Linked DNA regions of Xenopus tropicalis. The protein of the gene in region 1 interacts with the protein of each later gene in a pairwise test. Links are inferred from orthologs where the notes say so. Each region holds a gene or a part of one and is shown in the gene's direction. Other genes may lie near its edges.

The links.
Region 2: the proteins of lzts2 (region 1) and hspd1 interact in binary tests that used the Homo sapiens proteins (3 or more experiments, as listed by UniProt). The two-hybrid records come from large-scale screens. The link is inferred for Xenopus tropicalis from reciprocal best matches to the Homo sapiens genes LZTS2 and HSPD1.
Region 3: the proteins of lzts2 (region 1) and trim29 interact in binary tests that used the Homo sapiens proteins (3 or more experiments, as listed by UniProt). The two-hybrid records come from large-scale screens. The link is inferred for Xenopus tropicalis from reciprocal best matches to the Homo sapiens genes LZTS2 and TRIM29.

Annotation. Positions count from the first base shown.
Region 1 is NC_030683.2:29,764,641-29,768,387, forward strand, and holds the start of lzts2 (leucine zipper putative tumor suppressor 2 homolog), read left to right. Parts: upstream 1-897; 5' UTR 898-1,055; intron 1,056-1,116; exon of another isoform or gene 1,117-1,137; intron 1,138-3,747. UniProt on the Homo sapiens protein: Negative regulator of katanin-mediated microtubule severing and release from the centrosome. Required for central spindle formation and the completion of cytokinesis.
Region 2 is NC_030685.2:46,530,206-46,533,862, reverse strand, and holds part of hspd1 (60 kDa heat shock protein, mitochondrial), read left to right. Parts: intron 1-1,766; coding exon 1,767-2,019; intron 2,020-2,924; coding exon 2,925-3,007; intron 3,008-3,657. UniProt on the Homo sapiens protein: Chaperonin implicated in mitochondrial protein import and macromolecular assembly. Together with Hsp10, facilitates the correct folding of imported proteins.
Region 3 is NC_030683.2:79,151,513-79,155,269, forward strand, and holds the start of trim29 (tripartite motif-containing protein 29), read left to right. Parts: upstream 1-965; 5' UTR 966-1,193; coding exon 1,194-1,733; intron 1,734-3,757.

The DNA of each region.
Region 1 (3,747 bases):
ACCTCATAAGAAGGTACGAGAGAGGTTTGTTTAAACAGAGGACTTCTCAGTGGACTAAGGGCTGGCGTTTTAAGATGCCGAGATTCAAGATGCCCTTCAGAAAGAGGTGGCAGCTACTCTGTCCGAGCACAACCTGGCATGTGTCCTCCCTGTGTGTACTTTTGTACATTGTAAGAATGTACAGCGCTGTGTATCCTTCACCAATACACTCCCCTTAAGGGCCAAACAATCGGATCAAAATGGCGGGGATATGGGGCGTGAAGGGAGGACTAAATCAATTAGCCAATGTGGTCATTGCTTTGGCAAAATATTACATTTTCTGATCAATATCTGCCAGTTGTTTGGGTAGGCCCATCAGAGTGCCCCATACACAGTAGATACTGTATGTAGGCAACTTAGACCTAAGGATCCAAATCTGCCCGTTTATGGCACCTTTAGGGTGGCATTAATTGTAAATCCAACCCTGTTAGGCCCCCAAATTTCTTTCAAAGTGTTGACATTTAAAGTCAACTGAATGTATTTTTGTTAAAGAAATCAAAAATATAGATACTTTTACTGAGGGATTTTTAGGTTTGAGCACTAAAATTTCTGTCACCAACAAAACAGAGTCCCTCGGTACAGTAGTTTTGTGTTTGTTTTGCCCCTGCTGCATGACACGGCTAATGAGAGCTGGGCTAATGAGAGCTGGGATCATGATACGGCTACAGACTGATAGCTCAGTAACCTCACTCCCTGCACATTCCCAGCTATGGGGCCACTGAGAGGACATGGGCAGGCAGTGGGCTGGCCGCGCAGGGACTGCTGGGAGGCGGAGAGATTCATGACAAGGGGGGCGGGAGTGAGAGAGGAGTTAGGCAGGAGAGCAACATTTTCAAACTTAATCAGTTTTGCAGGAGAGGGAGGCAGCCGTGGCTTTGTAAGGGCAGTCGGGAGAGGGTTTATGTGTCTGCAGAAAGAGAAGCAGCTGCTAATCACTGCGCAGCCGAAAGCATTCTGCTCCTCTGCTCACTTGGGGAACTTGTGCGCATTGTGCAGGATGGATGGACCCAGGGAAGGTAAGGGAACTTTATCTGTGGGATGGATGGACCCAGGGAAGGTAAGGGAACTTTATCTGTGGGATGGATGGACCCAGGGAAGGTAAGGGAACCTTATCTGTGGGATGGATAGAGAGCACTAAATGAATGGGGCAGTGTGGGGAAAGCCTGGCATTCTCCCCTTCTTGTCCCTGTTCCTCTCAGACCCCGGATGTTTAGTTTGGATTCCCCTGACAGTTGTGTATAAACTTAGCGGCTTGTGGGGCAGTTTCACTGCTCCTCTTCCCTGTGTGGGACGAACCATTTCTGTTTGGGGGGATTTGCAGAGCTTTTTTCACTTGATGAACTGTAAAATCAGCAGCTTTTATTTCCTAATAGTGAAATATAATAAGCTAAATAAAACTAATGCAGTGTTTTCTTTTCTATTTAAAAAAAAAATATATCTCTTTCTGGTGCACAATTTCCTGCATTATATGTAATTAAAAATCAGCTGTCAGTGGAACCATTCACTTTTCTTTGCTATTTGCTTTTTTTCTGGATGCAATAAATAAAGGAAATACTTGCATTGCACTCAGCCCTTGGCCAAGCGTTGTGACATATCTATATGAAAAGGCAAATGTGCTTGTCTGATCATTTCGCTTCCCCTTGGAGTGTGGGAATAATAATGGGGTTCTTATATAATCTGGCAGCTGGGGATGAGGATATGGAATTTGCTTGGTGCCTGTTACTTCATTGGACCATTTCTTCCAAATTATATCATCCGTCAGTTTTGGTGCAGATTTTAAAACAATTTCAGTGAAAGTGTATACAGGAGCATTTGCTTGATTCCCAATATGTGTGATGTGGGGCTAGATGCCTCCATATTGTCTTAGGTTAGTGCTACTTTGCATTTGACAAGGAAGGGTAAGCTGTATAGTTTGCACTTACCACTTCCTGTTTTATCTTCCTAGAGGAAGTGAGGAGTGCAAAAGAATACAGCTACCCCCAGATTGTTGAAAATATTAGGATAAGAGAACTGTTAGATATCCCTTGCAGAGTAAAGGCTGACTGAGGATGCTCACAATTACAGATTGTTGCTTATTGAGAGAATAGTAAAATGATTGGTTGTAGGTATTTGTTCAGTCCATGTTATTACAGGGATAACATATTTTTGGGCTTCATAAAATAGGATTTTTGTAATGGTGTGTGTTTGTTGCATGTTTTATATTGTCTAATACCCAGTACTGCAGTTGCCATACTACTTCCCCTGCCAAGGCATTAAGACATGATATTATATAAATGTTTATTGCATAATCCAGTCAGTGTGCTGTAACTGTGCCACCCAGTGGCCATGCTATCAGGGATGGATGCAGAATGATCCTTTGGCTCGACTGAGCAATACGTTTGACATCTCTGTCAGAGAATAGAGCACCCATGTTTCAGCTTAGTCAGCAGGAATGGCTCTTGTTTTTGAGGCTTTATAACTGATCACTGCAATAGCCCTTTATGGCTTAGAATTGTGTGTCTGTGGTATATTCCATGCTGTTTTGATGTGCATGTTACTGAGATTGCACAGTGATGGGGAAATCTGCAGCCCTCCAGTTGCTTTTGAACTACAACTCTCAGCATCCTTTTGAAGTGTAATTCATATGAGGAAATACAATTACACTGGATTCCCATATACATAGTTCACTAAATGAAGTGCTAGGGCTGTGGAAGTAATAGTAGTGAAAATCAAGCTTGTAAGCCTTTGCTGACATTATTCCGTGTCGTATGGAATGAATAAAGCTGGGCTTATATTACATTCCTCTGGGTTTTTTTGTTTTTTTTTTGTTTTTCCAAAGAAATTTGATAAAGCTTCTCTGAAGTTTTGTTAGAATCACATACAGTAAGATGAGCAGTGATAAATGAAGCAATTTGAGGCTTGAAGTGCACAAGCAAGAAATTCAGCCTCATTTGGTTTTGGGGCTCCTGCTCCTTATCCATGTAGGAGGTAGTTTACCCCCATCTGTTTAATGTAAGAATATTGAAAGTGATGTGGAACCTCGTGGATTTTCTTACAGGTTTTGGAAATCCAGTGTGACTTGAATTAGTGTATGTATTCCTTTTAATAAAAGTTTTTTTATCAAATCGTGTGGTGCAAGTTTATATATATATATGTATATATATATATATATATATATATATATATATATATATGTATGTATATACAGGTATGGGATCCATTATCAGGAAATCCATTATCCAGAAAGCTCAATAGCAAATAGACTAAATTTATTTAAAAATGATTTATTTTTTACTCTGTAATAATAAAACCGTACCTTGTACTTGATCCTAAGATATAATTAATCTTTTTTGGAGGCAAAACATTCCTATTTGGTTTTATTAATGTTTTTGTTTTTTTTTTTAGTAGGCTTAGGGAATGCAGATCCAATAGATAATAGATCCCATACCTGGTTGTGTGCGTATATGTTTACAAATGTTAAAGGTAAATATATATATATATATATATTGCTAGGTTTTGGTATTTTTAAATAGAAAATATTGTCCCCTATATTGTAATATATAAGGATTAGTGATGGCGACTGAACCTAAAACTGCTCTAACCCAACCTGACTTGACATTCCCCCATCACTTATATAATTACTTCCGACCTGTCCATCTTGGATCTTGGACGTTATGTGCAAAACTTGAAAGGGTAATAGACATTACAGAAAAGTTCCTTGGCATGTCA
Region 2 (3,657 bases), on another chromosome or scaffold:
GTTGGGTAAAGTGGCAGCAATAAAGGCTAGCATGTTAACAAAAATGTTGTATGTTTTTAGGACAATACCTATTTTAGCACCTACTAATATTTATTTGAGTTGAGTATAAGCTAGTATTACACTATTATACTAGAAGATACTCTTGAAAGCTAGGACTTGTTTAAAGTGGCAGTGAAGAATATGTACTTGAATTTTGTGGTAGTTTTTTCTTTCTAGTGTGTAATGTGTTAAGCTGCTCTGTATGTAGCTGCCTTTTTTGTTCTCTTATTTACTTATGTTACATGCTAGTATATTACAAGATAAATGTATGATATGAAATCTTTAACAAAATGTTGATAAAAAAATTAAACTGCACAACTGAAACAGAAATTTTTAAGAGACTCCTAAATCAGCATTGACAGAAGCATTTGATACAGTGTTAGAAACAACTGCTTTCTAAACTATGGTCTGTTGGTCTTAGTGAAGTCATTTGCACATGGATAGAAAACTGGCTACAGGATCGGGAACAGAGGGTGGTTGTTAAAGGAGAATGCAAGTCAAAATTTAAAAAGCATACTGCCCAATACTCCTATTGTTTAGTAAAAACGCCACACTTTTGGCTCACCTAATCAAATATTTACTCAGTCACACTTAATTCACATTGTCTAGAACAGGCAGCCATCTCTAAAAAGGTATTCTCCCTTCCTTTCCCTCCTTGCTTCATACTGCAATGTGTTTCACTCCCTCCCCCCCCTCCCCTCTGCCAGATCCGCTTCTGATTGGCTGGTGGGCATGTGTAGCTCAGAACAGCAGACAGGATCAAGTTACACACATGCTCAGAGAATAGGAAGGCTGCCGCTGGCACCTACAGGAAGGACAGAGATTTCAGTGATGTCACTGTAGTCTTCACACTGCTGTAGGCTGCCAGCACCATATCTCAGAGAAACAAGCCGGGATCTGGGAATTTAGATATGCAGTAAGTACTTAAAAAGAATGCCTTTAGACTTACTTTTAATTTATATTAACCTTTCATTGTCCTTTAATGGTACATTCTCTACCTGGAGTAAGGTTCTTAGTGGGGTCTGTATTGGGTCCACTTTTATTTAACTTCTTCACTAATGACCTTATTGGAAGGGTATTGTAAGTAATGTGTCAGTGTTTGCATACAACGTCTGCACGTCACACAGGCAGAACAGAAAAACTTTTGGGACTGGGTTTCATTGCTGCACTGGTATTTATCTTTACAGCAGATTGTTCTAAAAGATAATTTGAGATGTTTTTGCTGACACTCGCTGTTTAAATTCAGAGTTGTGCAAAGGTGTCCCTCACTTTTATAGGGAATATGATTACAATATCTAACTATACAAGGCAACTGTATAAAAATATACATATTTGCCAGTAGATCCTTTGAGGAGATGCAAGGGCTTTAAAAGAATGGAGGTTCCATTGTAAGATTCAAAAAGGGGTTTCGTGTTTTTAAAAGTGAGCTGTTAAGCATATGTACATTAGACAGTTTAAAATAGGGTTGCATGCCTATTTAGAAAGCAATTTAATACAAAGTTACTGAAATGCACCCAGCTGATCCAGAGATTGGTCCAGTTGCTCTTTATTCAGGAAGGAATTCACCCCCCCACCTTTGAGACAAATCTTCAGAATCCTGATGTTTATGCAAATACCATATGGTTAACTCTACTGCACATATGCAGTAGTGTTGCTAACACAGAAGATAAACTTCTTGAGCATGGAATACAACTGTTATTTTCTCTTTATTTTAAATGTCTTTTTAGGGAAGAACTGTTATTATCGAACAAAGCTGGGGAAGTCCAAAAGTAACCAAAGATGGCGTAACAGTTGCAAAAGCAATTGATCTGAAAGATAAATACAAAAACATAGGTGCCAAACTAGTTCAAGATGTAGCTAACAACACAAATGAAGAAGCAGGTGATGGAACAACCACTGCAACTGTCCTTGCAAGGTCTATAGCTAAAGAAGGCTTTGAAAAGATAAGCAAAGGTGCAAATCCAGTAGAAATTAGAAGAGGTAAGTTTGAAACCCCTTTTTTCCCTTTGGATTGCAGAAGTTACGTTAACGGAACATAAATTTTGCTTTCTGGCACACCATTATTTTCCACTGAAATGGGTATTGACAAGTCCTGTAGCATTTAGTGTTAACTTTTTTAGATACCATACTAAAACCCAGATTTTACTCTTACAATATCACCACTAAAATGACAGCACTGATTGTATGTGTGCCAAAACATTACATAGAAACATAGAAAGTGAAGTTAAAGAAAGACCTGTATCTGTAAAGTTTAACCTCATGTACTTGATCAAGCTAACCGTTTCATCACCAGTGTCAACCACTGCTCTTTTCCTTTCAATGCAAAATGGTGACGGAATGAATGATGGTTTGTCCTTCACGGTTCTCTCAAAGAGCTCCAAGGCCATAAAGCACAATGGCAGTCTAAATAACTTTATATTTATTTCCAGAACAAAGTAAAGCTATAAATGGAACTACTGAAATGCATTTCTGATAATATCTGCAAATGATGTTTCTGTTGGGACAGATGTATTAAATACTTCTATTCATTCCTTCTCTGTTTGCTTACACATCACGAGTACTGAACCCTGATGCTATCCCTCACTAACTCTTTAGGAGACCGTCCCTTATGTAATAAAAGGTGCAAAGTTTGCAGTAACCCTTATAAAATTTAAAGCGTGTGACCAGTACATTTTTCTGCTGACTGGTTTATAAAGGGTTGCTGCACATTGCCTAATTTGGTGCCTTTTGTTGCATATCCCAGGTGACCTCTAGATACGTTTAAATACATAGACTTCGGTTTATTAACCACTGATATTTAGAAACAGATCTCTAACCACATAATTTTTATATATATAATATAGTATGTATGTAGTAACATTTCCGTTTTTGTATTACTTGTTTAGGTGTAATGATGGCAGTAGATGCGGTCATCAAAGAGTTAAAAAATCAGTCAAAACCTGTTACAACACCAGAAGAGATAGCTCAGGTAATATTTCCTGCTAAAGTTCAATACTCTTACTTTTTTTTATGTTTTTGGCTGGTGGGGGGGGGGGGGGGGGGGTTGTTTGCAGCGCATGTATTGATTTTAGCAAAATATCTGATATAGTTTAACAGAAGAAATGTTGACCTTGAATATATGGGATGAAAGATTAAAGAGTGGTGGTAAATTCATTTATTATATTAAAATTACCTATTAGCAAATAGGGAAGCACAACAGATCTACTGCAGAAATCAGTGAGTTAACAACCAAAACATATTTTCAAATGTTAAAAAAAACATACACAGAAAGAAATAGTAACTGAAGCATGTGCAAAATTTGGAGACCCTTACACTTTTCCAGTAATAAACTCTGTTTTTGCAAGATCCCTGGCCTAATTACCTTTTATAGCCATTAGAAGTTGTCATGTGTTTTCAAGTGCAGAACTTCATAAAATCTGACACGCCGAACTTTGGGCTGTTACTAATCAACCATGGATTCTTCTAAGCAACCACAGTGAGGATATGAAAATTAAGTAAATGCCTACAAAGTTTTCTATAAAAAGATTGCAAAACTTTCCAGCATACAACTTCCACTGTCTGTAATGTAATTAAGAAATTACAGTTTAGGGAAATAGTTATATCAAGGCAAGATCTAGA
Region 3 (3,757 bases), about 49 Mb from region 1:
AGCACTTTTAATGTTGTGTATTACAATTATTCAGTGCCGAGCAATGATTGTTTCTTCATTGCCTGATTCCGCTTGCCTGGGGAGAGTGTGATGTTGTGAGTCAGTGGGCAGGGCAATAGTGGCTGATACATCCTAAGAGTGCATCTGCCATTTTGATAACACTTAACAACAATAAATGATTGTAGCTATTACAGTGCGATAGAACATTTTCTAAAGCTTACATCAAGTGAAGGAGGCACATTGAGAGGAAATAATTTAGCAACTACGTAGGCCCATTGAGAGGAAATAATATAGCAACTAAGTAGAATTATGGATAGATGTCATGTGGAAAGAATGAAATACAGGCTTTCCTTGTCGTTTAAATTTGGCAAATATTCCCATTCTATTCAGAGATGAATACTGATATTGCAGTGACTAAGCAATAACTGCTGAGCTACAGAGAACTTTGTATGAAACGTTGATCGGATGGCAATGTTAAAATAAAGATTGCATTTTTATGAAAAGCCCATGGAGTGCGCTAACAACATTTTTTTTATTTTTTGAATATATACATGTATATATACACATATACAAAAACCATGAATATCCTGTAAATTTTATCCTTATAAACAGTTACATCAGTTGTAACCGGTGCACTTGGCTTTCAGCTGTATACATTTATCTGGTAATGAAAAATAAATCTATATATATATATACTGTATACATATATAAATATATACATATAAATACTGTATATATATATTAGCAAAATTGTTTTGTACTAAATATTCATTTGCAAAGTTTTAGATGAAAAACTTTAGTACTTTTACCCTTCAGGATATGTTGAAAAAAAATATAATTGTCCACAAGCACAAGCTGAAGAACAGGTTACAGCCACTATGATAAATAATTAAAAAAGAGGTCTCTTTCTGTTAAAGAGGGCAGGGCAAGAATGTTCCTAAGGCTTCCTGGGTGTGGATCAGATTGTGTAACCTTACCTGAAGCTGCAACATCTCTGTTTGTCACATCTACTTTGCTTAGCATTTCCAATAGGAATCGAGTGTCTTCTGCAGAAAGGTGTGAGTCAGACAAGTAGCTATTTAGCACATTTGCTTTCGTTCTCTATTCTTTCATTTAAAAGAATCTCAAGAGGGTTACACGCATCAGAGAATTAGAAGAGAAGATCTAAACTTCAAAGACCAGACAACGTAATAATGGAAGAACAAGACACTAAAAAATCCAATGGTTCATTTTCTGAAGATGCCAATGACACAAGTATTACTGATGAGAAGGACATTCAGAATGGACCTGGCTTTGATCAAGGAGGCACAAAAACAATCCTGAAAACCAACATTAGCTCTGGAGGGGTAAAGGGTGGCAGAGTGAGTTTTGGCTCTGAGAGCCCTGAAATCCGGCGCTCTGGCCGTACAAGTACTAGCTCTAACATAGAACCTGATGATGTTCTGTGTGATTCATGCATTGATGACAAGAAAAAGGCTGTTAGGTCTTGTCTGGTCTGTCAGACATCCTTCTGTGAAACCCATCTTAAGCCCCATCTGGAGGGGGCTGCTTTTCGTGACCATAAGCTATTGGAGCCCATTAGAGACTTTGAGGCCAGAAAATGTCAGCTCCACAGCAAAACAATGGAGCTGTTCTGTCAAACTGACCAAAGTTGCATATGCTACCTTTGTATGTTCCAGGAGCATAAGAATCATAACACAGTGACTGTAGAGGCTGAGAAGTACGTTAAGGAGGTGAGTATTGTTTGTACTGCATATGTACTGCATATGTGCAATCCATGTTATGGAAAAGTAGTCATGTAAAGTAAACTATTACAGGTTAGGAAGCATCTACCATGAAAACTGTTAATTACTAATACTGTAAAGAAATGGCCACCTTTTATCTTTTGTGTGTGGATGCAAGATGTTTGGGCTAAGAATTATAAGAAGAGTTTACTAGGCAATGTCCTATATAGCCCCTTGACATCAAACTGGTAAGCAGGATAGGGGTCCTAAAGTTATCAGATGACATAAGTATAAAGGTACTTGTGCTAGAGAAAAGACTGGATATAAATAATACCATTAGATATTACATTTTCTTCAGTCAAATAGATGATGGTATAACAAAATGCTACAAAATGTTGGTTTGTTTCTGAATGCAAAGCAGGTTTTTAAGGAGAAATAAGAGAAGTAGAAAAGAGACTCTCCTTATTATTTCTTTTTATATAATAATTACAAAATAAAGGTATAAGCATGTTTAAGCATGCTGGGACTTGTAGTCCAACATAAGGTCAACTAAATACATTAAAAAAAAGCTAAAACTAAGTAAATATGGATAAGCACCATGCATAGATTTATGGTTCACAAAGAAAATATTCCTTTCACTCTTTGTTGTCTTCTGCACAGAAATATTGTTACCCGCAGCTTGCTGAAAACATTCATGCTCTTTTATGCATGACCAGTGTTATTTTTAAGAAGGATAAACATGTACTAGGTATATTTATTATGTCCAAGTTCCCTTAAGTTATAATAAAGTGTCCCGTTATCAATAAATAACAATGATAATGATTACTTAGGGGATTTATATGAGGATTGAAAAACTTTGAAATTGAATACAAATAGTCCTGTGGATAGAATCTGCAGATTAGTAATTAGGTTCCTGATAATCTCCATATTTAATGCTAACTTGAATGCTAAAATAACTTGATGAAAACTGTCAGGCTACATCAAACTGAAAAAATATTTTCAGTCAGTTATTCACTGGAACTTTTATAAGGTATGGAATCTATTTTCTGGAAGTCCCTTATCCAGAAAGCTCTAAAAAAGGGGATGCCATTTGCTTATTTCGACTGATTTCTTTTTGTTCTGTATCAATAAAACTTGATGTTTCACTTGACGGGGCCTAAGATGCACTAATTTTAATGTCTACATTTTTAGGAGCTGTAAATGCTGGTGCACAAAATTATATTAGGATCCCGTATCCAGATAATGGATCCCATACCAGTATGAATGTGCGAAATATCAGAATACAAACTGCCTGTACTTAAAAATGTTTTCCCTTTAAGTGGAAGTATCAAATAACCAAACAGTTACTGAGCAAGCTGAGCAGGAAAATCCTCTTACAATTCATTTGCTGATGTTTAGTGCTCTAAAAGGGTTAAAGTGAAAGGCTGAAATTCTGGAGAAGTCTTGTCTGAACACGACAACTATGGGCGTCTTCTTAATTACAACATTTCTTGCATGCCTCTATAATGTCTTTAAATCTATGGCTGGTTTGCTGTCCCGCCTTGGGTGTGCCTAAGCATCTTTTAGACAGGGGAATTGCCTGCAGCTAATACTGCATATTGGATAGACTGACGTCACCTCAGCCACGCCTGGGCAGGTTTGGGAACAGTGTGCAACAAGCATGAAAAGGAAGTCATTGACAGTGTGTTAATGAGTCTCTTCTCAGGTCTTTTAGGTTTCTGCTAGATTTCTGGAATGTAATATCTGACAAAAATTAAAACATTTACCTTAAATGTAAACTTTTGTCCTGTCCTGGTTCGGTAGTTAAAACTTGCTTATGCTAGGACCTGTCAACAAAAACACCCTGTCTATTGATAGTAGTCATTTTAAGTATTAAACCTTTGGGTGACTATTCATCTATTCTCATATAAAACAGGCACGAGGCACTGTTGGTAGGCACTTATTAGTGCTTGGAAAGAATTTACATAAAAGAATGATTGTTAAGGCTAAATTGAAACTTAAAGCCTCTGCAAAGGTCTTCAGTACAGTGAAAG